Linked DNA regions of Coturnix japonica. The protein of the gene in region 6 interacts with the protein of the main gene of each other region in a pairwise test. Links are inferred from orthologs where the notes say so. Each region holds a gene or a part of one and is shown on either strand. Other genes may lie near its edges. The genes, in order: SMARCE1, CREB5, ATF2, TRIM54, STX11, KIFC3 and KANSL1.

Region 1 (3,991 bases), on a different chromosome or scaffold from region 6:
TGGCATCCTGAATGTAACGGCCTCTCCTGGCATTTTCACTATGCAGCTTTTTTCGTGTGCTATACTCTGTATGTTTTACAATACTTGAATTTAAACTAAGTTTTAATCGCTTTGAGGCACTTTAAACAGGGATACAAACTTACCAAAGTAAATAGCGGTACAACAATAAAAACAATAAAACCTGAGCTTTGTGTGTCCGTCCTGAGGGGGACTGGGTGGCAGAGAGCACAAACAAAAGCTGGTTTATGATCATTAAACATGTTCAGGGCTCCTGACCTGAACAACCCGCTATAAACAAACCTTGTACAGCAGTAAGAGCACATAGAGTAACATGGAAACGGAGCACAGGCAAACAGAAATGAGAAATAAATAGAAAAACCAACCAACTAAAGCAAAGGAAACAATAAATAACGATCCAGAATGATCAGTATGGAACTGCACTGAACACTGCAGCGACTTGTGCATGTTTAATGCTATCGACACCAAGCACAACTGAATGCAACGTACAACACAATGTAATGAATGTGGTCAAACCCAAGCCAAACCAGGGTTACTTTTCACCTCTAAGTATTTTCTTACCTCCTCCTTAAGGACGTTGTGCCCAGGTGCCGCTGTCGGACCCCAAGGTGCAGGTCTGGCTGCTGGCGGATCTTCCCATCATTATATTCCCTGTGTTATTGAATGGAAATCTCCATCTGTCCATGTCCGTGTCGTTACTTCAGAGCAGAGCAGGCCGCGCTGTGGTATCACAGCCAGCTTCCTCTCCCTTCTATCCCCTCTGGTGTCACACAAGCCCTGTCTATGTGCATTACAGACGATTCCTGCAGTTCTATGTGCATTACAGACACTATTCCTGCAGTTCTATGTATATTATAGACACTATTCCTGCAGTTCTCTGTGTATTACAGACTATTCCTGCAGTTCATGGTCACTCACAGCCGCTTTCTCCCTTTCCCGCCATGTTCTCCTTTCCCGCCACTCGACGCTCCATCTCGCGCCTCACGCGGCCCCAGAGCGCGGCAACGCCGCGCGCCGCCTCCGCCCCAGCCCCGTGAGGCAGCGCTCCCCGCAGATTCGCCACAACGCCTTCCGCTCTTCCTTCTCACCCCTCGCGGCGCGGGGCGGCCCTCGGTCTGACAGCGGCTCCGAGGTGAGCGGGGCGGACGGACGGATCAACCCCGCGCTACTCGGACACCCGCGGGAGGGAGCGGGGCGGAGGCCGTGGCGAAAGTGCGGAGCGGGGCGCGCAGGCGCGGTGTTCGCAGCCGGCTCGGCCCGGGCAGGAACAAAGGAGCGGCGCTGCGGAGCGGTGCGTGTGTGCGGGGCGGGACGGGCGGGGGGGCTCGGTGCCGGGATCGGTTCTGGGCTCGGTTCTGGGCTCGGTTCCGGTCTCGGGTTGGCGGCTCATCGCGGTGCCGAGGGGCTCAGGTGGGCGCTGCCCGCGGGGCGGCTCCGCTCGCGGCCTCTTCCCGGCGGCGCGGCCTCCGCGGTTACACGGGCCGGGCCGGTGTGTGAGGGTCCGTGTGGAGCCACGAGCTGGAACCGAACGGAACCGAGCGGCACCGAACGGAACCGAACGGAACCGAACGGCGGAGGAACGTGAAGTTCCTGCGGGAGAAGCGCCGTGAAATGGCCGCTGGGCTGAGCGGGGTGGCATTAATGGGACGGTTGTTCTTTTGTCTTTCAGAAACACGAATGTAACGTCAGGTGGCTGAAAATTTGCCTGTCAAAATGTCAAGTAAGTTTTCGGGCTTTTCTTCCTTTGGTGAATTTCGGATCCGGTTCCGCGGGCTCTGGGGCGCTGCCTGTGGGCCTTGTGCACAGAGCAGCCGTTCCTGGTTCCCGTGGTGTCTGTTGCTGTGCCGTCAGCTCTCACTGCAGCTCGGGCTGCACGGAGCAGTTCCTGGTGCCCACCTGGAGCTCTCAGGAGCTGCTGCAGCCCAGTCCAAGCGTTTGGTCTCACAGCAAATCTGTCCCAGCTTCTGCTGAGTCCTGCTTCCCTGTTTTGTTTTGTTTCCTTACCCTCTTCTTAACCGATGTGCCTGTAAACGTATCTCAGGTTCCTTCATCTGCCTAAATAAAAGACCAGAAATGTAGCAATGATGTGGGGTTTTGGTTTGATTTTTTTTTTAGTCTCTCCTTTGCTGTGTGCTCCAAAGTCTTTGAGCTGGGTCTGTCTTTTAGTAAATCCCATTAAAGCATTTGCCACAATGGATGCCTCTTAAAGAACTCATTCACATTTTCAAGGATTTTCTTTGCTTACGTTTATATTTTAACAGAAAGGCCATCTTATGCTCCACCTCCTACCCCAGCTCCTGCAACCGTAAGTACAGTGCTTTTTCTCATTAACACAGATCCTGTAGCAGAGCTGTTAGTGACTTACCAGAGCCGTAACAGTGGAGACGCAGCACCTTCCTGTGTTGGAAAAGCACGCTTGTTGTATTTCATTGTTAGTATGATATTCCTTGTTTAAAGTCATCCCAATTTCAGAACAGTTTGCAAAAAAGAAGCTGAACAAACTGGTTTCATCTTAAACATCTGCAGGATGTGGCCCTTTTTTAATCAGCAGTCACTGGGATTATTTACCTGTGTGGCCATTGAACTCATGCAGCCAATGCTGCCCATTGGGATGCTGGAATATTGAAGGCCAAGTCGATACGGTTCATTCTCAGACTCCCTGCTCAACTTTTACACAAATGATGAGCAAAAACAGGGCACGTTTTTGTGCTTCTGACACATTTTCAATGGGATGCAGATTTCTGTTATATTTGGTCAGAAAATGGAGACCCTCCGTGCTGGTAATCGTACTCAGATTTCATGAAAATGCTGATATTTTGGGGTCTGCTGCATGGCAAATCTCTTAACTTACAGTAAAGTGGTATGGAATGCCAGTTAAGAAAACGTGGCAGTGATGTCCAGTTGTATTCCTGCATGTATAAAAGTATCTTGAAATACTCGTGCTGTGGTTGGAAAAGCAGCTGAAAGCAAAGGCAGCTCTTGTTTTGGAAGCAATGCACTCATGGGAGAAAATATTAATGAGTGGAACAAATGAACGAGTAAGGATGCTCTTTAGCATGTGTCATTTCACACAGCTCAATAGATTTGTGCTCTTAGGAGGAATGTGATGGCAGCGGATCTCTCCTGTGGCACAGTGTGGGTGAATACTGAGGTGGTGCATCCTTTAGCCAAGCTATGACTTTGTCAGCAGTGCACACAAAACCAGGTTCATGTTGATGCTTTTATAGCCGTGATGTAGAATGGGTACAGTGAGCACATTGCTTTCAAAGACTGCTGAAATGGGTTTTAACAAAGTGGGACTCCAGTGTGAGACAGTGCAGGTAACGCATGAACCTGGCGTGGTGCTGCAGTGAGTGCTGGTGCAGCGCTCCATCACCCTTACCTGGCTGGTCTGCTTTATTTCCAACACCATCTGAATTCTGGACAAAGAAAAGAGAGTAGCTGAAGTGCAGGAGTGAGACTGACAACCAAGGGGAGACAGTGAACCTTGTGGTGTTTGATTACATCCCTGCTTACCCACATCTGTGTGCATGGAAATTAGATTTTCTCCATGTTCCAGGAGGTGAGAACAAATTGATCCGCCTGCAAGATCGGACAAAGATGTGTTTGGTTGTTCCTAAGATTAGTTTGTGGTTTCTAACCTGCACATTGCATTGCAGCGGTTCTTCAGCTCCGTCAGCCAGCGGCCTCCTAACAGAGCGGCAGCTCCGTGCATCGTCCTCTCTTGGTTTTTCTAATCCTTACAGTTCTCCAGAGTGTTTTGATTCTGCAGACCACCAGTGAAGTCCTCTGCTCCTGCTACTGTTGCACGGATGGTGCTTTGAGACACTCACGTTGTTTTTTTACCCTGTTTGCTGGCAACATCGTGTTCGTTAGGAGGCAGAAGGATGGCAAGAGGAGGAGGCAGAGATTTTTGCTGTTGTAGTAAATGTTGACTTGGGGAATTTTTGCCCCCATACTGCGCGCTGCTTTG
Region 2 (4,132 bases), on a different chromosome or scaffold from region 6:
AGTCAAGAACCTTCCTTTGGGACCAGAGAGTCATCTCAGGAACACAGCATCTCTCTACTTTGCAGTCAGCACAATTCAGCAAAACCACCTGTCATGAACACAGAGCAGAGTCAAGTCAGGAACTCTGACCCAGTGTACACTCAAAGCGTTACTTACTCTTGTAATCTGTGTACATGTCACTGAGAGGCTGCAATATGATTCATAAGAAAGCAATCTCAGTAGATTGGTAATATAAAACTGTGGCTTATACTTAGAATTATAGAATTGTAGAAGCATTTGTGTTGGAAGCGACCCTTAAAGGCCACTTAGTCCAACTCCTCTGCAGTAAACAGGGACACCTACAGCTAAATGTTCAGTGCTTGGTCCAGCCTGGCACTGAATGTCTCCAAGGATGAGGCTTCCACCATGCCTCTGGGCAATTTGTTCCAGTACCTCACCACTGTCACTGTGAAACACCTTTTCCTTATATCCAATCTAAATCTCCCTACTTTCAGTTTGAAATAATTTCCCCCTTTTCCTGTCACAGCACTCTCTGCTAAAGTGTCTGTCCTTTCTTACAGCCCCCCCTTTAGATACTGAAAGACTGCGCTCAGGTCTCCCGAGAGCCTTCTCTTCTCTAGGCTGAACAGTTCCAGCTCTCTCAGCCTGTCCTTGTAGGGGAGGTGTTCCATCCCTTGGCACATTTTTGTGGCCCTTCTCTGGATGTGCTCCAACAGCTCTGCGTCTCTCCTGCACTGAGGAGGAGTGCAGTCTCCTCCTCATCTGGACACAGTACTCCAGGTGAGGTCTCACCAGCACTAGAGCAGAGGGGCAGGATCACCTCCCTCACCTTACTGGCCGCGCTGCTTTCGATGCAGCTCAGGATACGGTTGGCTTTCTGAACTGCGAGGGCTCATTGCTGGCTCGTATCCACCAGCACTCCCAGGTTCTTTTCAGCAGGGCTGCTCTCCATCCTTACATCCCATAGCACTATCACCCCGGGCACGGCACCTGAGTCCCGCTCTCTGTGTCCCCCATTCTCCGGAGCACGGAGCACCTCGGGGCCGCCCCATCCCGGCCGCGGGGTGGCGGACCCCTCCGCTGTCCCGGTGCGGGGCGGGGCCTCCGGGAGCTGTGACTCACCCCGTCCCGCCCCGTGCTGCTCTGTGCTGCTCTGTGCTGTGCTGTGCCGTGCTGTGCCGACGGAGGTGGGACCATCCGAGGCCGCACCCCCGCCCCCGCCCCACGCTCCCGGCAAACCCCCCCCCTCCCTCCCTCCCTCCCGGCACGGACTGCAATGATTTAGAAGTTCAGGAATCCCACGTGACGTCACGGAGGGTGATGTAATGCTTCTCTAAATAGAACGTATTGTAACCTTCCCTCAGTCCAACGTGGTTCCTCCGGCCGCGCTGCCGGTCCCGTCCCCGCCGCGCCGCGCTGCGCCGGGCGGTAAGTTGCTAAAAACGCAGGGCTGCCCCGGGAAAGAGCTCGGAGCGGAGCGGCACGGAGCGAACGCTGCGGAGCTGGACAAGGGGCAGCCCCGAGCTTGGGGACGCGTCTCCCCGCCGCCGGGTGCCGCACGGGTCGGTGTCCGCCGCCGCCTCCGCTGATCCGCTGGGACGGTGCGGGGAGAGGAGCGTGAGCGGGTCCGGACGGGGCAGAGCTCGGGGAGGGCACGGCACGGAGCGGGATGCTGCGGGATGGGATGCCGTGCGATGGGATGGGGAAGGGGCGCGGGCAACGCCGCGCTCCCCGGTTGTGACAGCTTCCCCGTCGCTTCGCAAAGTTGCGGGAGAGTCGGGCTGCCGGGACTCGCAGCCCCTCCGGTGGGCTCAGAGCCCGCTGCACCGCTGCTGCCGGAGGGTCGGTGCCGCGCTGCTGCTCCGCTTGGGATGCGCTGTCCCCCCGCTGCAGCCTCCCGCAGCTGCCCTCTCTTCCCAGCGAAGTCTGCAGGACGCTCAGAGCTTCGGGAGTGTAAGGGGAATACTTGCTAAACTCTGCCTGCTCTATTATTTATGTCCCGGTACGGTGAGTGATCCTTCATCTCCGGGGCTCTCTCTCTTTGAGAGACGTCGTGCAGAGGCGGGGGTAAGGATAAAGGAACGTCCCTATGTTAAAGTCCAGAGAGATGTTTGGAGCGCGCTAAGCAGCTCGATGAGATTTCGCTATTTTATCGGTGCTTAACTAGGGGAAGTTCGAGAGGGAAGAGCGGGCTGCTGAGTGCGGACCGGCATCTCCGGGCTTCACTGCGAGGCTCCCAGAGCCCCCCAGCCCGGCGCCGTTCCCCGGCCCTTCCCCGTCCGAACAGAGCTCAGTGCGTCAGGGAACAGCGGCGGAGAAAAAGTTTATTGTAAGAAAGTGTCACGCAGAAATAAGCCAGAAACCGCGCAGAAAGAGAATTGGGAGTCGGAGGGTGAAGGCTGGATGCAAGCGCACCGCCTAAATCACGGGGACGGGGCGGGGGGGGAGATGAGGGGGGGTTGTTGGTGAAAGATGGTCGGCTTTCAGCAGAAGAGTGTCGTTGAAAGTCGTCGCTTTGGTATTTTGTAACTTTCATGCGGTGAATGCGGTTGCCGTTTTCAAAAGCTGGAAGTTCTTTAAGAGAAATGGCTGAGATCCTTATTTGTGACTCCTTAATCCCGAGGGGAGCTGCGCGGGTCGCAAAGCACAGGGGAGAAGTGCGATTAATGATCGGTGATTAGCGATAAGTGATTAGTGGTTTTATTCAAACTGTTACCTCTGACCAGAAGCACGCATCAGAGGATTAACGGGCTCTTTAGATAAATGCTCATTAGTGGAAGGGGGAAAGCAGAGATAATAGGCATGCACACAGGGACAACTTTCTAGGAAAATCAGTCCCGTCTCTGGCATAATAAGCTCTATTAGCAGAGGGGCGCTTTAATTTAAAAGTTGCTTTTATCTTGTAAATGAAAGATGGATGCAGAAGTTCGCCGCGCTATTATAGCCTAAATTTTCCCATATCCACTGGATGTGGATTATCTCAGTAGTGATACCTTATTAAAGGAAAAAAAAAAAAAAAAAAAAAAAAGAAAAGAAAGAAAAAGAAAACACACCGTGCTAACCAATGGCATCTTTGAAAGCCGCAGCCCCGCATCCCGCGGCATCCATCCATCCACCCATCCATCCGTCCATCCATCCACCCATCCATCCGTCCATCCATCCACCCGTCCATCCATCCATCCATCCATCCCTCCCGCGGGCGGAGCGAACTAGAGGGCGCAGCGCTGCTCTGGGTTCTGATCCCAGCAAGTAGCAGCTTGCGAGGTGTCCTTCAGCACTCACCACAAAGTTGGTTCCGTGCTGGGTTGGAGGCTAGACAGCGCTACAAGTTTGTAGTCACTTTTTCCACGTCGGTTAATCTGGGGAGTTAAAGGCTATTGGAAAAATTAGGCTCATTTACTCTCAGCCACGGGGAGCGAGGGAGAGGGGCAAACCCTGCAGCCTGGGACCTGACTCCTCACCGTGCTGTTTTCCCCTGCTTTAACGAAGCCCCGTTCTGATGGCCTTCCTTGCTGAAGCTTGAGAGCTCTTGGTAGTTTCCCCCCAGCTATCACTGTGAAGGGGGGTGGTTTTGTTTTTGTTTTATTTTTAAAGTCACTAAATAGAAAGAGCAGCTGGCGGTGGCTGAACAAAACGGCTTGGACCTGACTGTGCTCTGCAGATAATGGTAAGGAGCGTCTTTCTATGATAACTAACCAAGGATTTCTCCTTCATCTGTACTGTGCGTGGCTCATGTAGAACCAGTGCCTGCTGCTGCCCACAGGTTTCGGGACATTTCTGCTTGTCCCATTTGCTTAAATGGGATTTGTGTTTGCTTGCATCTGCTGAGATCATAAAAGTTTCAAAACTTTAAATGAAACACTTGACTGAAGCAGGAAATAGAAATAATGAGTTTATGGCTTAAAAAAAAAAAAGAAAGAAAGAAAGAAACTGCTTCAGTCTCCAGTTGCTACAGTTTTGATTGGAGACTCGCAGACCGATGCTTGAAATCAGAGCGTTTCATGAGAGCACATATAAAAGGCAATAAGCTCCCTTTGCCACTCTCGGATATTGGGTGGCACTCTTCCAGAAGTTCAAATTGTGGTATTTTTAAAGCTTTCTGCATTTTGGATGCTCAGAACCCTCTCCCTCT
Region 3 (3,538 bases), on a different chromosome or scaffold from region 6:
AGCATAAAACCCACTGAGGCTCCTGAATAATTATCTGAATACATTCAGATAGTTTTTACTGTTCTTCAGGTAACCTGTATTATTTTTAGAGAAAGCTATGTATTCATGTAATTACAAATCAATATCTTGATATATTGGTGCTGTCTCCTTTGACTCTGAAAATTATTTACAATGCATCTGTTCTCACATGGTATTTTAAAAGTAAAATCATGTGCTTTGTGTAAACTTGATTTCAGATCAGACACCAACACCAACTCGATTCTTGAAGAACTGTGAAGAAGTGGGCTTATTCAATGAATTAGCAAGTCCTTTTGAAAATGAGTTTAAAAAGGCTTCTGAAGATGACATTAAGAAAGTAAGTGCATACGTGCTTTTGGTCCTGCCGTTCAATTGAGAAGTAAACTTGAATCTATATGTTGTCTTTTAAACTATACCCGTAGTCATTGACCAGCCACCAATGTATAGTCTTCTATGGAGAGAATACAAAGTTAAGATTACTTTTCAGAAGGTTTGTTTACCTGAGTTGGTGTGAGTAGAATGGACACTGGAACACACCCACTATTTACACAGTCTGTTTTGAGCATTTAATGCTCTTTTATGAGGGACTGTCCACAGGTTTAAATGTGCTTTCTCCTATTTCTTCTATAACTTTCTAGTCCTAACTAGTTTAGGGGCCCAAAAGTGTAAACACTTCTCCAAATGAAAATTTTTGTGTCCCCTTTGAATGATTTTTACCATTGGCTGATTATATGCTTTAACTTCCACAGACAGTGATGTTTAAAATTAAATGGACTGTTTTATACATATGTATAAGTTTTTACAGAGTCAGTGTCTGGTTATTCTCTGTGAAGATTTTAGTAGATACTTGTGATTAGGACTCATTCCTGTGCATTCTTGATGAAAACTCACCTTTGCTTTGTGCTCACAGCTGTGCCTAATCTTAGCTGGTGAATGGTAACTTTTCCTAAAATCATTTGCATGATAATACAAATTCTGCTTTTGATTCTGACTTGGTTGTCTGTGAAATTCACCACTTTCTTGGAGGAAGTTACAGTTATCACAGAGTACTGAAAACATTCCAACTACTTTTAAAATTGATGTTCCTTTTCCAAGCTGACAAGAAGAAACGCAATTGTGCCAGATGTCTTTGATAACATTGGATTGCATAGCCTTCAAGTGTAGTGCTGTCCTTCCTCAATTATAACTTTCCTGTGAATCTTGGGAAGGAACTTCATAAAAATTTTTACCTGCAGTGGGAATTCAAACAAAGTCTTAGTGAAAAGCTGTATTTATACAGATGTTGGAAAAAGGAGGCTTGACTGCTAACACATGTGCATCAAGACCTTCCGGATGTCAGCACTTCACTGTTATTATTATAATAAGGCTAATATTTCTCCTTAGTTACTTATATTTTCTTGAGATATTTTAATTTTTGTGTGTGTGTTGGTTTTTTTTTTGTCTACACTGTTACATCTAGATGCCTCTAGATCTGTCTCCTCTTGCAACACCAATTATAAGAAACAAAATTGAAGAACCTTCTGTTGTAGAGACAACTCATCAAGATAGTCCTTTACCTCATCCAGAATCTACTACCAATGATGAAAAGGTCAGGATTCCTTTTTCATTTTGGAATTCACTATCTGAATCTTCTGATGATCTTTGGGTTTCTTGTACACGTTGATACCCATGTTATGTAACTGTTTGAAAGTAAATGACTTCATTAACCACAACTCCTGGATACATACTTAATTTGTTCAATTCTTTAGTTAGCTTTGCTCAGCACAATTTTCTATTTGCCTCACCTTAATTATTCAGTAAAGCTACGAAGGAAGTCAAACTTAGTATTGCTGCTATGTTAAAAAAATTGTTAAAATTGGGCTCTTTATTCTTATTTTATGCATCATCAGGCAGTAATCACAAAAAAGCAAATGAAGTGTAGCTTGAGACTATCCATGTGTACATTTTTGTGTTTATCCTGTGTTTTCTCACCAATTTTTTTGTGCAGCAGCATGGGATGTTCTATAAAAATGTACAGGGGTTGGATGGACGGTCTTTCAAAATTAAGCAGGAAAACTTTGTTTAAAAATCCATGCTCTTTCAGCTACAACAGTATGTTTAAAAGCAGTGATCTGGAGCAATTGCTCATTTAATGTTTACCTGAGGGCTGGGTTTGTGAGTTACTGTCTGTCTCAAGAGAATGTTGTAACTTAATCTGTTTCAGAACTACTGCTCTGCTGGCAGTAGTAGGAAGAAATAGTTTAATAATAAGGTTGATACATAACTTGCAGTGTTTTCATCGTAAGAAATTCTCTTGGAGAGCACAGAATTGAGCAAAGTTAATGAAATGAATTAATTAATGAAGTAGGAATGAAAATAAAAATAATAGGAGCAGAGCTTAGTAAGCAACATGGCTGCTCTGGTCAGTTTTTCTATGTGCATCGTTAGTGGGTAGTCTGCATTTGAGGGACATGGATATCATATTTGCAAAAATGAGTAGACTTCTTTGGGATTACGAGGTAATTCATACTGAAAGGGACCGTAAGACATTTCTATTCCAGCTTCCTGCTCAAAGCAGGGATTAGATCTGAGACTAAGACCAAGAAACTCAGGGCTTTATGCAGTCCAACCTTGAAACTTCCAAGAAGGGAGAATGAACGGTTTCTTTGCTTAATGTGTTCCAATACCAGACTGTCCATGTGAAGGCCATGTTTTTCTTTGTATCCAGTTTACCATTTCCTCTTGCACCACTTCTCTTATCCTCCCAGCAGACGCTGTATGTGACAGAAAGTGTGAGGAGTTTCAGTAGAGAATTGTCTTCAGAAAGCTGTTCTGATTTTTGTAAATTAGCAAAGACGAGTAATAGTATGTTATTGAAGTGATCGTGTAGTCCAAAATAGTAAAACTGGTTTAAAAGAATACACGTAAAGAGCTTCTTTGATCAAGCATATCATAGTCTAAATCTTAAATCTTCTTTATTTCGTAGTTTGGAAAGGTTTGTTTTTGTCTGCAAATAATTATTCTAAGTGCTCAAGTTTTGGCAGGAGAAAATATTAATATCTTATTTTACAGTAGTGGTTCAGTATCATTAGCATCATTACAAGTGCAAATTGTATCTAAATGCCTGGCAGTGCTTATAAACTTATTCATTACGTAATTCAGTGTTGTCACTGTAGCAGTGCTGAAGTGAAAAGCTGCTGCAGCTTAATGTTGTTTTGATGTCTGATTGTAGAGACAAGCTGAGCAAGGATGAGGGTGCTGCTTGGAGTGTGCTGCTGCTGAATGTGGCCTGCAGAAGTTGAGAAATGTGAGCAGAGTGTTGCTGTTTTCTCAGTTAGATTTTTTTATACTCCTTCTGTAGGTGTGTTGAAGGAGGGAAGGTTTGTTTCTACTCTTCAGGGCAGAGCTGGTTTTAAAATTCTATATGCCACCGTAACCATCTCCTTGGCTGAATATGTTTTAGTAGTCTTAAATGGTCACAGCCTGTTAATGTACGTGTAAGAGGGTTCTCATTTTCTTTGTAGTTGTCAGAGCTATTTCT
Region 4 (4,288 bases), on a different chromosome or scaffold from region 6:
ATCTTCCCTCCATCCCTCTCCTCATCCTCACCCCATCCCCTGCCACCCCATCCCTATCCTATCCCCATCCTCACTTCCTCCCTCCCCACTCATCCTCACCCCATCTCCTGCTACCCCATCCCCATCCCATCCCTGTCATATCCCCATCCTCACTCCCCCCCTCCCCACCCATCCTCATCCCCATTCATCCTCACCCCATCCCCACCCATCCTCATCCCATCCCCTGCCACTCCATCTCTATCCCATCCCCATCCCATCCCTACACCCTGCTCATCCCCACAGAGCATCTCACCATGGGGAGAGCTCAATGGCTTCTGCCTTGGCCCCACATCTGTAGAGAAAAAGCATTGGACAGGTGGAGAGAGGGACACATGGTGAGACCATGCACCGTACATGGCCACGCCGCAGCCACGGCAGCACCGTGGTGACTGCGGCACAGCATAGCACGGCACAGCACAACACACTCTCACCTTCAGCAGCCTCAGGTGCCTCCAGGCTCTCCTCATCCCCTGCACCTTCACTGCTGTCTGTGGGTCCATCTCCATCATCCTCACCCAGCGCTTCTGTGGGGCAGAGGCACATCTCAGTGTGAGGACATCCCTGCTGCAGTCCCCTCCCCAAGGCAGCGCCCGCCCCATGCTGGCACCTGGCTGGAAGTCGATGGTGCGCAGCATCTCAGCCACATGGTCCACATTGATGGAGAAGTGGTCCATGCTCTCATAGCCGGGCTCAGGGCGGCTGCTCATCGACACCTTGGACATGTCTGTGATCCTGGGGGTACAGCAAGCAGCATCAGCCCTGCCCACCCACCCCCCCATGCCATCCTCATCTCATCCCCCTCCCCATCCCATCCCATCCCATCCCATCCCATCCCATCCCATCCCATCCCATCCCATCCCATCCCATCTCACCCTACCCCACTCACTTCTTCAGGAGCTCCTTGGAGTGCTGTGGGGGAAAGCAGAGTGCCGTCAGCATCCCAGGAGCAGCGCACCAAGCCGCAGGGCGCCCCGCACACAGCCCCCCCCAGGCACCTGCAGGTACACGGCCATCTGAGGTTCCTCCATGGCCTGGATGGCCGTCTCCACCAGCTTGGAGGAGGCCTCCAGGTGGTCCCCGTACTGTCGGATGAGGCCGCGCACGCGCTGCACCTTCCCCTCCTGCTCGCGGGCGATGCTCTGCAGCAGCTCCTTCTTGCGCTCCTCCAGGATGCTGCAGAGCGAGTCGAAGCGCAGCCCCACGTGCTGCTTCTGCCGCCGGCCGTTCTCCTGTAGGATCCCCCCCCGGGGGCTCAGGGGGCTGCCACGCTCCCAGCCCGGCCCCACAGGACACCCCTGTGTCACTGTGCCCTGGGGACACCCGCGTTCCATGGCTGCAGTGGGGATTTCCCTCCCAGGAGCATCCCACCATGTGGGCACAATACACCGGGTGGGGGTCCCGAACCACGCAGACCCCACACGCGGGGCCTGGGGGGGGGGTGTGGGGGGGAAGGCACACACAGGGCAGCCCCACCTCAGTGCTGCGGCAGGAATCTTCCAGCTGGGAAATGATGGTCTGGATGCGGTCGTTCCCCGCTACTAGCATGGAAATGCAGTTGTTCAGCTCGCTCTGGGGGGCGGAGCGGCGTCGGGGGTCGCACCGGGAAACCCCTCCCACCGCGCCCGCTCCATTGACCCCCCCCCCGGCTCTGGGGGTCACCCACCTTCTGGCCCTGGAAGATGCTCTGCAGAGGGGCGACTTCGCAGTCCTTGTGAGCACCGAAGACCTTGCACATGGAGCAGGTGGGGACCTCGCAGGTGACGCAGTAGATGTTGATCCTCTCATCCTCATGATCCTTGCACATCAGCTGCTGCTCCGCCTTGGCGTGCAGGGGGCTGCGACGGGAGGGAGAGGGCGCTGCGCCCCACGGCACGGCCCCACGGCACGGCCCCACGGCACGGCCCCACGGCACGGCCCCACGGCACGGCCCCACGGCACGGCCCCACGGCACGGCACACGGCACGGCCCCACGGCACGGCCCCACGGCACGGCACACCTCTGCCCCGTAGCATCCCCCGCCTCACTGCACCCCCAGCCCCACAAGTTTAGCCCCAATACCCCCCCACCCAGGCTCATTCCCCCTCGTGTCCCCTGCACAGCCCTCCATACCACACAAGCCACGGCATCCCCCGCCCCACCTCACCCCACGGTGCCCTTGAGCCCCTTTAGCCCCAATCACCCCCCCCCCATCCCCACGGGCTCCCTCCCACGCGTGTCCCGCCCCGCACCGCGCCGACTCCTGCTTGTAGATGTCGATGATGTTCTCCACCAGCAGGTTCCTCTGCAGCCCGTACACACCGTGCCGGTCCAGCAGGACCTCATGGCGACACGTAGGGCAGCGGAACCGGCCCCCGGACGGCCCCGCGCCGGAACCCCGGGACTGCCACAGCGGGTTGGAGGCCTGGGGGGGCAGGGGGGAAAGGAGAGAGCAGGGCAGGGGGGGAAGGAGGGGTTAGCGAACCGCTCCGAGACAGAGATCCCCCCTCCTCCCGTGTACGGAGCCCCCAACCCCGGGCACAGCCCGGTCCCTGCGCCCCGCACCTGGAAGATGTCGTTGGCACACTTGCGGCAGAGGTTATGCTGGCAGGGCAGGATGACCACAGGCTTGCTGAACATCTCCAGGCAGATGGGGCACAGTAGCTGCTTCTCCAGGCTCTCCATGCTTCGCGCTTCCGCCAGCAGCGGCTTCAGCCCCACGGCGAAGTTCATCGCCGCGGTCCCGGTACCTCTCCGGTACCGCTCCGGCCCCTCACTGCCCCGCTCCGGCCCCGCAGCGCTAATTTTAGCCGCCCCCGCCCCGTCGGGGCCGCGCAGCTGTCGGCGGCGTCGGGTGACACTGAGTCACGGCGGGCGGCCGTCCCACCGCCGGGGTCACTCCGTCCCGACGCCCCCCGGGAGCGGCACGGCGCTGCCCCCCCCCAGCCCGGCTCCACAGCCGCCGCTCCGAGACGAGAGAGCGACACCGCCGAGCTCCCCCCCATCATCCTTTAATGGTGCCCATATAACATATACAAACCCACGGAAAGTGCCTGAAGGGTCCCAGCCCCATAACGAGCGCGGTGCGGCCCCACGGCGAGGCAGAGTGGGGCGCGACGGGAGGCCCCTCTCCGACCCCTCCTCCTCCCCCCCCATACCAGCCCCAGAGCAGCGTTTGGCACCCAGCTCCCGTCAGGGGGGTCCGGCCCCGGGGTTACAGTGCTACCGGTCTCAGTCACAGCGCTGTAGGACGGTTTCACCTGAGATTGTACACCCCCCTCCCCACCCCACGATGGGGTCTTGGGAAGCGGCGGTGGTCCCGGAGGAGGCTTTACCCCCCACCCCCCTCCGGCACATAGGTGGCCCTATGCCTCGCTCCTGGCTCCGGCAGCAGGCAGGGGCTGGGCGTTGCTTGCGGGGGGCTGCGCTTCCACCGGGACCTGTGGGTCTGGAAAGAAAATGTGTGGGTCAGTGGAACCAGGAGGGAGTCCTGGGGTCCTGGCAGCGATCCGGGGCTGCCCCTGGCACCAGCACGGCCCTCATGTCTCTGTTCCTCTGTTAAGGAAACCGAGAGAGCCCCCAACCCACGTGTCCCACCAGCCCCCGAGCCCGGTGCAGCCCCCCCTGCAGGTCTCTGTGAGCCGGGAGCATCGTGGGGGGGGTCACCATTTTGGACCCCAACTCACCGCCACCATCGTCCGCCTCCAGGTCCTTGGGGTCGACGTACTTATAGGACTCGTCCTCGCGGGGTGGGCAGCACTTCCCGCAGCAGAAGAAGCAGCAGCAAAAACAGCAGCAGCAGGTCAGCAAACCACAGCACAGCGCCAGGGCCTGCGGGATGGGATGTCACAGCCTGAGGCTTCCCAGAGACCCCCGAGGCTTCCCCGAGACCCCCAATATGCCCTAAGAGCTTGGGATTGCCATGAGACCCATGGGGCTGCTCTGAGACCACAGGGCCCAGCTGCCATGGAGATCCCCTGGGCCACTATCAGACCCCAGGGCCACCTGAGACCCCAGACCCAGACATTGTGAGACCCCAGGGCTGCCTTGAGACCTTTGGGGCCACATAGAGACCTCAGTGTCCTGCTGCCATGAGAATCCCAGGGCCACTGTAGGATGCCTGGAGCCACCCTAAGACCTTGGGGTCCTCCTGAGACCCCAGACCCAAGCACTGGGAGACACCAGGCTGCCCTGAGTCCCCTGTGGCCTCACTGAGACCCCTGGGGCTGCCCTGAGGCCCCAGTGTCCAGCTGCCCTGAGAATCCAGGGCCAC
Region 5 (4,093 bases), on a different chromosome or scaffold from region 6:
AATTCTTGTGAGCAGCCCATTCCTCATGCAAGTGAGCAGGATCTTGTTGCATCACTGACGTTTAGTGAAGAAGCTGTTCTGTGAAGGCCCCTGCTTTTGCCAGAGGCTGCAAGGTCTCTGAAAGGCATTGCTCGAGGTGGGAGTGTTGCAGCTGGAGACTCCCCAGTGAAGGCATATAATGAGAGGATTTCCTAGCATCAGCCTCAGCCTTCCTGCACTAATCTTGGAAACTCTTAACTCATGGGTATCACTACAGCAGTAAGATCTGCCTTTAGCAATGTGAACAGAGTATTTCCTTTCACACAACTTTCACAGAATGTCTCTCATCTAATGAGAGATGGTATAAAGTGGGAAAAAAAAACACCCTACTTTGTTACTTTTGTAGCTTTGCAAATAATGCTTCTCAGGACTTGAATAAGTTGACAGGGCTGAAAACACTCAGTCTCACTTATGGGTAAATCACTTTGTCTAATCACTTTCATTATTTCAAAACTGACAGAAATGAGCATAACAAGTGCTCATAATAATAACATTCCTAAGAAATGAGCATTAAAAGTTTCCCATCTCATGACACAGACAATCTTTACATATGGCATACCTGGTTCATTTGCCATTGCTGTTCTGTCATGGCCTTAAATTGCACCATGGGAGGTTCAGGTTGGATGTAAGGAACAATTTCTTCTTAGAAAGAGTAGTGAGGCAGCTGCCCAGGAAGGTGGTGGAGTCACTGTTCATGGAGGTGTTGAAGTACCGTGTGGATGTGGCACTGACGGATATGATCAGTGGTATGGATGGGCTGACAGCTGAGCTGATGATCTTAAGGGTCTTTTCCAGCCTTAATGATTCTGTGATTCTAAACATTCTTTACCCACACAGTTACAGTAACATGAAGCTTCATTTTCAGCTCCGCCTGTATGAATTAACACCACCCCAGAGGCCAAAGACTCCGCACAGAAAGAAGCAAGGAGTGCACTATGGGGTGTTTTGCCTTTTCCCTCAGGCAGACACAGCTACTCTGTCAGACACAATTTAAACTGGTTATTAACCATAAAACCTCAAGTATTTACCTGCTGCTGAGGTGTTTTTGCTGAAATAACAGCAGCATAGGAAACAAGAGAGATGGGAAGCCCTGCATGCCTTTGCAACAGACAAAATACATGGTAGGAGTGCGCAGATGCAGTGTGAAAGAGGTTTGGGGGCATCAAGGGAACTGAGAACGGCTTTGGAAAGCATAGATGATCTTCCAGCCATTATTTGCTATCATCATCAAGTCAACACCCAAGAATGGGCTCAGTGCAGCCCTCTAAGCGCAGCCCATCTCCTTTCACACGCTGAATGGAAGCGGGACTTTGAGCTGTGTAGTAGCCAGTCCAGCCCGGTATTTCCACGCCCACATCCGAAGACAACAAGAAGCGGCTGCCGGTGCCCACGGTGCTGACTGCCAAGCAGAGCCGCCCCGCGTTCGCCCACACTTCCCGTACAAATCCGCCCCCCGATGGGCGGGGCGGGCGCTGCCATGCAAATCAATGGGCGGTGAGTCGAGACACGGGGCGGGGTGTTCCAATAGGACCGGTACTGGCCTCGACGGCGCGGACTGAACGACAGTGAGTGCGGCTCGAAGGGAAGCACGTTTGGGCTGGAGGTGAGTGCTGCGCGGGGTGGGACGGTGCTTTCCGCGCTGGGTTCTCGGTGTTGCCGTCGGTGTCTCGCTCAGCATCGGGCCCGTGGGGTGTGAGGAGCGCTCTGCAGTTTGGCTTTGCCTGGGAGTAAAGGAAACGGCCCCGTGCGAGTCGAGAGTGAAGTGTGAGCTCGGCAGCAGAGAGCGGGTTGGAGACCGGAGGTGTTTGGTTCCATCTGTGGTTGTGGTTGCCTGTAAGGGGTAGAGGACATCGCTGAAACGAGAGCGTTCTCTAAACGTACCTCCTGGTCTTGTCTCAGCGCTGCAGCCTGCTTCGCCCGTGCTCCTGCCTCGTGGTGCTGCCGTGCGGGCTGAAGGTGCTTGGCTTCATAGCGAGAGGTAACAGCTTGTGCTATTCCCCTTTTCCTTGGGCATCCCTGTGGCCAGGTCTGTGAGCAAGGCAGGAGCTAGTGCTCTTTGATGGCTTCCTATTAAACTGACATTAGTCTCTTGTCCTGCTGAGGAGCGTTAGTGATGTGTGTGTCTGAGATAGCAGTACTGGGGAAGGAAATGACTGGGAGAGTATCGCTGGCCTGCAGCACTCAGTGGTGCTTCTTGTTGCTTCTTGTTTCTCTGCTTCAGGTGGTGTTTTTGGAACCTTTTGTTTTGTTTTAAGCTGTTAGGGATCCAAATGGAAATGCGTGGCTTGTTAAGACGAGAATGCAATTTGGAGGACGCTGCCTTCCTGTTCTTGTTGTTTAAGCTTTTTTCTATGGGAGTGGTGAGACTACTAGAGGAGCACAACTTTAGTCAGAAGGAAAGGCAAAAGTTTTAACAGCCCGAAGGAAAACAGGGTGAAGCCTGTTGGTGACCTCTGAGGAAGAGGGCTCCATGGTGTTCCTGTGGAGAACTGATCCTATTTTATCCCATCACAGCTTGTTCAGTGTAACTCGCATATAAGTCAGATAGATGACACTGGAAATAAATAACCATTTCTTTTTATGAACTCCTTCTGTGCATTAGAGTGTGGTGTCTTTATACCCCATCCTTTGAGGTACTGAAGGCCCCACTGCCTGGTAGGTGGCAGCCCTACCTATGGCTGGGGATTGGAACTTGAATGGGCTTTAGTGTTCCTTCCAACCCAAACCATTCTGTGATTTCTCCCTGATCTTGTGTGAAGAACAAGCTTATGTCCCTCTCCTCTTTCTTCAGTCTCCTGCTTTCTAAACCCTTTGGAGACTGGTGAGTATCCTCTGGCTTTCCTAGCTTGGTAATGGGTGCTGGATGCAATATTCCAACCAAGGCCTTACTGATACCAAGCAGGGTACAACTGGTGCTTCCCATGCTACTGCTTATATAAGTAATGTGTGAGTTTTTGTTTTCTTTTTAACTTTAAATTAATTTAACCTGATAAATTTACCTCAGCCCCAGGTGCCGGCTCTTCACATTGATGCAGCCTTGCAGAGAAGCCATTCTGGGGGCACAGCTCCAGGCCTGCCCCTGACCATGCCCATGCTCTGTGGCCATGCTACACTGCTGGCAGGGAGGCTTCTGGGGAGCCAGCAGTGTGTGGTTCAGCTTCTGCTTTTTTGCTCTGCTGTTTTGATAGCTTCTGCTGATTGTGTCACCATCCTGCTATCTCATCTAGCCTTCTGCACACAGCGCTCAGTGCATCTCATTTAGGCCTTGTTTCTGTACTTAATCATGGTCTCACGGGACCTGACTTTGTGAGGCTGATCATGTGTGCAGCTTCTTCTCTATCTGCTGGGCAGTAGACAGGGAAGTCTTAACTGATATGGTGTAAGATTATTATTGATTAACTTGTATCAACAAAAGCTAGGGAGAGATTTCCTGAGTACTGGTGGCACTGTACCCCCAATTACATCTGTACCAGTGTCCCTGGTACTTTGAAGAGGCCTGAGAACACCCATAGGTGCTGTGTGGTGACTGCTGTACTGCTGGTCAGCATGTCCTGGGGCTGGGACTTTGCCTGCATGTGTGTGTGATGGTTGTTTCCTGGCTGAACATCTTTGGTTCTGTTAGAGGTGTGTAGGTTTTGCAGGAGAACCCAGAGCTCAGCCTCCTGTACTGGTCCACGTGAACAAACACCAATAAGACCCCTCATGTTAAAACACAAAGGAATTTTTTTTTCCTATAAGAATGCTTGATATCAGATTGTATAACCATGAGCTCTAAATGTATGTATACTCAAAAAAGAAAAAAAAAAAGCAGTTGTGCTGATTTACAAATGCTTGTAGAACACTGTGCTTCTGACTTATAATCACATGCAACCTCATATTTCCACGCAGATGTTAGGATAATGTCTTAATTGTGCCTAAATACCATCTGGTAGTAGCAATGGTAGTTACGTGCAGCCTGTACCCAGTTGTTCTGCTGGGCAGACCTGTGTCAGGCTTGTTGAGGTGATTCACCAGAGCAGGATCCACCTGCAGCACTCACTGATGGCATCACATC
Region 6 (3,538 bases):
CCCGAGCAGAGGGAAGGAAGGGAACTTCTGACCGGGGCACGCAGCTGCTCCGTGCCGTTCCCTCGCAGAATCACCTCGCCAGCACTTTTCTTTACTGGTGGCATTAAAAATAGATAGATATTTCTTTTCCCTGCAAGCCGGCGAATGCGGAATTACACAACAGCCCGGACTTTTGTGACCTTTGCCGTATTCCTCTCCTCCCTCCTTCTGGGTTTTCCTTTGGTGTAGCGGCTGGAAAAGCCCCGGCCCTTTGCATTCAACCTTGAGACACCAGGGCTTTGCCGAAGCCCACCCGGCGCAACGACACCGACGTGTAACGGGCAGACCCGAAGGCAGCCGGCTGAATTCCTTTTGACAATAGAGGGTGGGGATGTGGGACCGTCCTTGCAGCGCCTGTGCGATGTGGGTGTCCCGGGGATGGAGGAGCACGCACACCCAGCGGCACGTTTCACCCTGCAGGTCTCGCTGGAGGACGGCCGGCAGCCGGCCCTGCCGTACAACACGGAGGAACCACCGGCAGCCCCATGTGAGCCCGCCGTGCCGGGGCAGGCAGCCTGCACCATGAGCCTGGAGAAAGCCGGTGAGGGGAGCACGGACGCAGCCGGGGCTGAGGGATGGGGCCATGCAGGCAGTGTCTTCTAGCCCAGCTGGGAGGAGGCAGCGCTCACCGGGTGGGGGGGGCTGCTGCCTTCAGGTTTGGGTTTGCTGTCCCTTGGCTGGAGCATCTCTTTGCTACGAGGAGGAAGCGGGTGCTTGAGCAAAGCTGTGCACGCAGCCCGGGGCAGGAGAACAAAAACCCTCCTGCAGTCCCTTCTGGAGGAGCACGGATTCCTGGCTGTCCCTCTTCGCTGCCTCTTGGCTCGAAGAAAGCACAAGTCCCCACAGCTGTCAGTGCCTTGGGATGGCTGACACCTTACAGCACGTGTGTGAAACACAACTGACACACGGCGTCAGCCCGCCTGCAAGCAGCCAGCAGCTCCCAGCATCGCCTTCTGCCTCCCAACCTTTGCTTTCCAGGCAAGGCAGGGAGCAGCCCAGATCCATGCTGCTGGTTCCACCGGCACTGCATGGCGGTGAGTCAGTCCAGCTCGTCCCCTGCTGGAACCACCGAGCAATTTAAGGCTTCGTTTGCAGAAAGCTGTGTTTAAACTCGTGCTGCGAAGGTCAGAAAGTCGCACTCAACAAGCAGGGCCACCATTTGGGTCGCCCGTGTCATTTGAATTTGGCTTCCATTCCACTGCCGTGTTCGGTGACGCAGCCTTTAATAACACCATCCCATGCTGTTTTTCCACTGGCACCTGCTCATTCAGGGGAAAAAAAGGCTGAGGGGGTGAATCAGAGGCAGCAGTGGGGCTGGGTGGCTGCACGTCCACACGGGGCAGCTCAGGCTGTGCTGTGGGATGCCAGCATCCCTCTGTTACGCATTGGTACCACTGGGACCCCCAGCTCTGCTGTGCTCCTGTTGCTGCCTCCGTCGGGTCCCTTTCCCTGCAGGGTGCCCGTGTCCCCCTGGGGCTGGCTGACCCTGACCCCGCTGTGCTCGCTCCTGCCGCAGGGGGTCGGTTCTGCAGTGGGAAACGTGCCAGTCTGCCGGCCCAGCGGCCCTTCCCCGTCATCCAGAAGGTGGTGGCATCCATGGCGCACCTGCAGGAGGAGAAGCTGCGGCTGCAGGAGGAGCTGCTGGCTCTGCAGGAGAAACTGGCCGCCCGAGAGAGCGAGGAGATGGCCATCTCCGTCCAGCTGCGAGGGCAGGTAGGGGGGCTTTGGGTGCACTCCGGGCTTCCAGCTGTGGGTTGTGATCTGTAGCATGAAGGCTCAGGGTGCTCCAGCTGTCTTGAATGAGGAGCAGTGCGTGTCTGTGTTGGTGCTTGATGTGCTGCTGTGGACGGGGACTGGCCTCAGTGCTGACCCCCTAATGCTCCTCCTGCCGGTGCAGACACAGCTGTGGATGTGAGGACGTCCCTCATTACAGGGAGATTGAAACCCAGGCTGCTAATAAAGGGATTTGCATGTGGATGTTGTGGAAGCTATTACAGTCAGGTTTGGCTTGTTCCGCTGGTGTCAAAAAGGTGGATGTAATTGTCCTGGATCTGGTTGGCATAGTCTGCATGACACAAGCAGGACAGGCAGCTGGCGTGCCGGGGCTGTGCAGCACGGGGTGAACCTGGGCTCCGTGAGCTCAGCAATGGCCGGGCCGTGCCTCAGCCCCCAGCACACAGCCAAGGGGTCCCTGAGCAGCCTGGAGAGCAGGCGGCTGCCGGAGCTGCCTGAGGAGGTAGGGCACGGGGCTGCTGTAGCACTGGGGAGCAGAGGGAGCAACTCTTCTCCGTGCTTGGTGCATGGCTGGGGCCTTCCAGCTGTGTGTGGGGCGGTGTGCTTTCCTGTGAGGTTTATCCTTGAGGTTCTGGAAGGTGCAGGGAGTGGTTGGGGCTGTGTGTGGGGAGTGCAGCCCTGCGGTGCACCGTTCGTTAAGCAGGAGAGTGGCAGCTTAGCCATGGCTCCACGTCCCCCTCCTCCTGCATGGGCTGTGCTGAGAAAGGGGTGGGGGGCAGCGGAGGAAGGGTTGAATTGAGCTGCTCAGCCTCTGCCCCGGCACACGCAGGAGATGCGCTCGGGCAGCTCGCCGCGCCGCCGACTCCACAAGGGAGTGGCTTTATAACTTATCATAATTAATTACAGCACAATGTTGAGCGCGTTCGCATTTGTTATAAATCAGCAGCTCCTAAATGACGATCTGCGGAGGTTCAGAAGAGGCTGTTGTCGTTTGCATGGGGCGGCAGCCTCACTGGGACGGGGGTTGGTGCGGTGCCTCCTCGCCTGGCGGGGTGTTAGGAAGGGAATCCCTTCCCGGGTAGCAGAGCGGTGGGGGCTGGGGGGGGGCACAGCACAGCTTTGTGCTTCCCCATGTGTGCAGGTTGAAAACTTGAAGGCGAACCTCCGTGAGCAGGCGCAGGAGATCGGCAGGCTGCGCTCGGAGATGGTGAGCTCACCGGCTGCGGGGGGGGGGATAAAGTGGGACTGGGGGGGGCTCCCATCACACGCTGACGTTCCGCAGGGGGGAACGGATGCGGAGAAGCACCGGGACCTGCTGGTGGCTGAGAATGAGAGGCTGCGGCAGGAGATGAAGGCACGGGAAGGGGAGTTAAGGGAGCTGCGGCGGCAGCAGGCGGCGTGTCGGGACTGCACGCACCTCCAGGTGAGCTGCGGGTGAGCCGTGGGGCTGCGGGTGCCACGGCCAAGGCTGAGCCTGCTTTGGGGCCAGGAGAACGCCGGGCTGCAGGAGCGGCTGTGCCAGCTGCAGAGGGAGGCGGAGGAAGCCCGAGCCAAGCTGGCCGAGCTGGAGCTGGAGGTGCAGCAGAAGACGAACCGTCTGGCCGAGGTGGAGCTGAGGCTGAAGGATTCGCTGGCCGAGAGAGCGCAGGAGGAGGAGCGGCTCAGCCGGCGGCTGCGGGACAGCCAGGAGACCATCGCCAGCCTCAGGGCTCAGCCCCAGCAGATAAAGGTGAGCACCGCGGGGCTGTGCCTCCTGCTGGCTGTG
Region 7 (3,538 bases), on a different chromosome or scaffold from region 6:
CACCTCCCAGCTCAAAGCAGCTCCCCGAAGGAACAAGTGCAATGCTGCTGATTCTGCAGCAAAGTTGTGCACGTTGGGAGGTGCTGCACAACCACCAAAACCAGACCCAAACCTTGTCCTGCCCTGCACAACGCCCACACCTCAGGGCTGCTGGAGCAGCACAGGCGGCTTCTGGGGCTGGTTGAAGCCGGGTGCTGGAAACCAGCACCATGTTGTAACCCTGTTAATTGTGAATGGGCTCAGGGAAGGGTGGCAAAAGGAGCAGGAAGGAAGATCAAGTGCAGGGAAGCACGAACAGATTTCATCTTGACATGCTATGGCTGCTGAGGAGCGTCCTGGTCTCCAAAACACTCGGCTCATTCCAGGGAAGCTGCTGCTGCTGGTTGGAGTCTCAGCCTCCCCTGAGCATTACAACCCACCTCACTGACAACAGCTGATGACGCAACAGCAAACTGTTCTGGGAAAGAACCCGGCTGGAGGTGGCAGCCCCAGAGCTCAGAGCAAGGACAGAGGCACACAGTGAGCTCTGAGCCCCCAAAGCCTGGATCCCCAGCAGGGGCTGCACCACACAGAGACCAGGAGCTTTCCTAGGACACCTCAGAGCTGAACAGAGCGGGAGGGAGCTGGGTCCTGCTTGCTGATGGCTTCCAGAAACAGCTCCACAAAGGTTCCAAATGCTGTCATCTGTTCTGGGAGGCTGAGCATGTCTGGGCACACACTATGAGCCAACCCCAGTTATAACGACAGCTAAGTCCCATCCTCAGCCCAATTTACAGCCCAACACACAGAGAAAAGGCCAGAAAGGGGAAGAACCCAGAGCAGGAGCTGTTGTTGTGTCAGCAGCTTTGTGCTGCTGGTGCTCAGCTCTTCCACTCCGTTTCCTGGCATCCCCTGACATCTTCAGTAACCAGAATCCGGACATGGAGCAAAGCCAGTGGGCTACTGGGAACGGGAACATTCACCAGCACTTACTGAACTGACAGTGAACCTGTCACTGCAGCCGGCTCCGTGCACAGCCAGGAGCACAGCAGACCCAAAGCCAAAGCAGGAGGAGAGCCAACACAATCCCATCACCAGCGAGGTAAAGATGCTGGGAAGCTGAGAGCCGAGCTCAGCAGCTCCCCACACAGACAGCAATACTTACGGTGCCGGAGGTGCCCTGGGAGCTCGTGCTGGTGGGAGCAGAGCCCTCCGAGGAGGTGGACAGCTGCCGTGCTATGGGGCTGTGAGGTGCATGGGTCGCAGCCGCTGCCAAGTAGCTCGGGCCACCGACGTCCGCGTGATGCTTCAGCACTGCATGGGGAGGGAGGAGAAAACAAAGAGCCACGTTAGCACCAAATAAAATAAGGCTGGGGGGGTAGGAAGGAGAAAAGGACCATCTGTGCCAGAAATGGCCAATGCTGAGGTGAGCCCTGCAGGAAAGAGAAGCGATTTGTGACTGCAAACAGCTCGTCAGGGGCTGCAGGGAGCAGCAGTCGGGGCGCACGGTGCGGTGAGGAGGCCCAGAAGCAGTGCGATCCCTCTGCTCCAAGGGGAGACAGGCTGATGAGCAGCAAAGCCCAAGCTCCCCCCGAGCGCCCTGGCCTGGCAGCCTACCTTCACTCCTCTCAGATGAGCAGTCGCGTAATCGCTTTTTGTCATGGGCGGGAGGCTGGACAAGCGAGCGCTCAGGCGCTCTCTCGGCCTTGGACACGGCCATAAAATCGTCTAAGGGCGGCCTGTGCGCCTTGTCTGCCTGGGCTTTGTGCTGTGAGCGCTCTGAGGAGGGGAACAGAGAAAGAGCCATGAAACTCCTGTTTTCACCTCTCTTTCTGCGGGCATGGGATGCATCACTGCTGCGATGCTGCGGCTCAATGGCGTCATGCAGCGGGCAGAGCTCTGCATGGGCACGGCCTGGTGTTGGGCAAGGAGGGTCCCTACAGCCAGGAGCAGCTGCACACACGGCCCCTTCAGCCCCAAAGGCTCCGTTTGAATGCTATCCATCCTCCTCTCTCCTCCCGGACCGCACTGCTTTGGGGTTACCAACAGCAGGGGGGCACTTACTGGCTGCGGTGAAGAAGGAGTTCACCAGCTTGTGGCGGTCCTTGCGAGCGGGGTCGGTCAGGCTGCTGGTGGGCATGGGGGCTCTGTGCTTGAACGAGAGCTTTTTGGGAGCTTTCATTTTCTCGTAGGGTTTGTTCTGCCACTGGGATTTCAACATGCTCTGGAAGTGCAGGCTGGTCGGCACGTCTGCGGAGGGAAAGCAAATGCAGAGTTCACATTAAGTGTGTACCAGGAAGCAGCGGGTCCAGCATCACCTCCCAGTCCCCAGCAAGAACTGCCCCAACACACAGAGGGTCATCACTGCACAGCCACATTTGCCTGTGTATTCAAGGAGGAGCTGCTACGTGAGGATCCAGCATTCCCAACCTGAAGCTCTTTGAGAGCAGCACAGTAATACAGGATTCACACCCAGGTATATCCTGGCAGGAGAATAAAAGGCACGTGGCTCCATTCTGCTATCTGTGATCTGACTTCCAGGGCTCTGGGATATCTCAGCTCATCAAACCTACAGGAATACAGACTGGAAGAGAGAAGTTCAGCTTAACTCCTCCACTTCGGGTCAGGCCAGAAGCCAAACAGGTACGGTGTGAAGTTCATCTGCATGGCAGGGCATCTGCCATGGAACCAAGGGTGCTCCAAATGAGCACACTGCAGGGCCCATGGAAGCAGCAGCCCCCCAGGGTGCTCACAGCTGCACCCAGAGCACTCAGCCCGGCCTGTGCTGCCTTTTCAGACCACGCCGTGCACTGCAGTGGGGCACACGCTCCTCTTGTCCACACTCCTCAAGCTCCATTGCATCCCAGTCCCACACAGACGTGCTCTCCTGACCTCAGCTGAAGGCTGGAACACTAATGGGGTTATTCGGTGCCTTCCTTGTGCAGACAGGCCACGCTATGGGGTCGGCTCTAAAAACCATCAGCTGGACCAACAAACTCCCCCAGCAGCACCGTTCCTCCCCCAGATCTCACACCATGTTTTTGCAGGGACTCCAAAGCGACCCTGAGCTTAGAGGAACCTTCCCAGAGCCCACACGAGGAGCTGAGGTGCCCAGCAGCCCTGCAGAGGGGCCAGCACTGCAACTCGGAGCTGCTGCAGCATCTGGGAACTGCAGATGACCTCAGAGGGCAGCAGGAAGGGATGGCAGCCCTGCTGGCAGCCTTGGCAGCTGAGATGGGAATCCATCCCCAGTCATTCCAGAGGCTGGAAAGCCCCAGGACGGGCAAACAGGGCTGCAGGCTGCAGTCACTGTCAGGGGAACTTGATGCTGAGCAAGAAGCCAGAGCAGCCGTGTTTAGAAGACCCTGGTGCTAAAGCTCTCACTGAGCCCCATCCATGTGGGCAGCAAAGTGTGAGAGCAGTTGTTCAACCACTGACAGCCTGCACAGACTGATCCCAAAGGGGAGGGAGGGCTCAGAGAGGGCCCTGAGGGGAAAACAGCCTCCGCTCTTTGCTCATCTCCTGCCTCTTCCTGGAAATACATTCCACCGTCAGCAGC

The links.
Region 1: the proteins of KIFC3 (region 6) and SMARCE1 interact in binary tests that used the Homo sapiens proteins (3 or more experiments, as listed by UniProt). The two-hybrid records come from large-scale screens. The link is inferred for Coturnix japonica from reciprocal best matches to the Homo sapiens genes KIFC3 and SMARCE1.
Region 2: the proteins of KIFC3 (region 6) and CREB5 interact in binary tests that used the Homo sapiens proteins (3 or more experiments, as listed by UniProt). The two-hybrid records come from large-scale screens. The link is inferred for Coturnix japonica from reciprocal best matches to the Homo sapiens genes KIFC3 and CREB5.
Region 3: the proteins of KIFC3 (region 6) and ATF2 interact in binary tests that used the Homo sapiens proteins (3 or more experiments, as listed by UniProt). The two-hybrid records come from large-scale screens. The link is inferred for Coturnix japonica from reciprocal best matches to the Homo sapiens genes KIFC3 and ATF2.
Region 4: the proteins of KIFC3 (region 6) and TRIM54 interact in binary tests that used the Homo sapiens proteins (3 or more experiments, as listed by UniProt). The two-hybrid records come from large-scale screens. The link is inferred for Coturnix japonica from reciprocal best matches to the Homo sapiens genes KIFC3 and TRIM54.
Region 5: the proteins of KIFC3 (region 6) and STX11 interact in binary tests that used the Homo sapiens proteins (3 or more experiments, as listed by UniProt). The link is inferred for Coturnix japonica from reciprocal best matches to the Homo sapiens genes KIFC3 and STX11.
Region 7: the proteins of KIFC3 (region 6) and KANSL1 interact in binary tests that used the Homo sapiens proteins (3 or more experiments, as listed by UniProt). The two-hybrid records come from large-scale screens. The link is inferred for Coturnix japonica from reciprocal best matches to the Homo sapiens genes KIFC3 and KANSL1.

Annotation. Positions count from the first base shown.
Region 1 is NC_029542.1:4,157,577-4,161,567, reverse strand, and holds the start of SMARCE1 (SWI/SNF-related matrix-associated actin-dependent regulator of chromatin subfamily E member 1), read left to right. Parts: upstream 1-1,191; 5' UTR 1,192-1,309; intron 1,310-1,409; exon of another isoform or gene 1,410-1,428; intron 1,429-1,687; 5' UTR 1,688-1,731; coding exon 1,732-1,738; intron 1,739-2,279; coding exon 2,280-2,323; intron 2,324-3,991. UniProt on the Homo sapiens protein: Involved in transcriptional activation and repression of select genes by chromatin remodeling (alteration of DNA-nucleosome topology).
Region 2 is NC_029517.1:30,422,841-30,426,972, forward strand, and holds the start of CREB5 (cyclic AMP-responsive element-binding protein 5), read left to right. Parts: upstream 1-1,308; 5' UTR 1,309-1,428; intron 1,429-4,132. UniProt on the Homo sapiens protein: Binds to the cAMP response element and activates transcription.
Region 3 is NC_029522.1:14,860,653-14,864,190, forward strand, and holds part of ATF2 (cyclic AMP-dependent transcription factor ATF-2), read left to right. Parts: intron 1-236; coding exon 237-355; intron 356-1,477; coding exon 1,478-1,606; intron 1,607-3,538. UniProt on the Homo sapiens protein: Transcriptional activator which regulates the transcription of various genes, including those involved in anti-apoptosis, cell growth, and DNA damage response.
Region 4 is NC_029518.1:95,417,669-95,421,956, forward strand, and holds the start of TRIM54 (tripartite motif-containing protein 54), read right to left. Parts: upstream 2,816-4,288; 5' UTR 2,749-2,815; coding exon 2,581-2,748; intron 2,441-2,580; coding exon 2,268-2,440; intron 1,875-2,267; coding exon 1,703-1,874; intron 1,609-1,702; coding exon 1,513-1,608; intron 1,269-1,512; coding exon 1,035-1,268; intron 949-1,034; coding exon 926-948; intron 772-925; coding exon 647-771; intron 564-646; coding exon 471-563; intron 332-470; coding exon 293-331; intron 1-292. Other genes in the region: DNAJC5G (dnaJ homolog subfamily C member 5G), read right to left, coding at 3,381-3,463, 3,702-3,846. UniProt on the Homo sapiens protein: May bind and stabilize microtubules during myotubes formation.
Region 5 is NC_029518.1:41,265,590-41,269,682, forward strand, and holds the start of STX11 (syntaxin-11), read left to right. Parts: upstream 1-1,278; 5' UTR 1,279-1,642; intron 1,643-4,093. UniProt on the Homo sapiens protein: SNARE that acts to regulate protein transport between late endosomes and the trans-Golgi network.
Region 6 is NC_029526.1:1,977,819-1,981,356, reverse strand, and holds part of KIFC3 (kinesin-like protein KIFC3), read left to right. Parts: exon of another isoform or gene 1-364; intron 365-459; coding exon 460-580; intron 581-1,555; coding exon 1,556-1,752; intron 1,753-2,914; coding exon 2,915-2,980; intron 2,981-3,055; coding exon 3,056-3,196; intron 3,197-3,262; coding exon 3,263-3,502; intron 3,503-3,538. UniProt on the Homo sapiens protein: Minus-end microtubule-dependent motor protein. Involved in apically targeted transport. Required for zonula adherens maintenance.
Region 7 is NC_029542.1:2,360,636-2,364,173, reverse strand, and holds part of KANSL1 (KAT8 regulatory NSL complex subunit 1), read right to left. Parts: intron 2,230-3,538; coding exon 2,044-2,229; intron 1,759-2,043; coding exon 1,597-1,758; intron 1,294-1,596; coding exon 1,145-1,293; intron 1-1,144. UniProt on the Homo sapiens protein: Non-catalytic component of the NSL histone acetyltransferase complex, a multiprotein complex that mediates histone H4 acetylation at 'Lys-5'- and 'Lys-8' (H4K5ac and H4K8ac) at transcription start sites and promotes transcription initiation.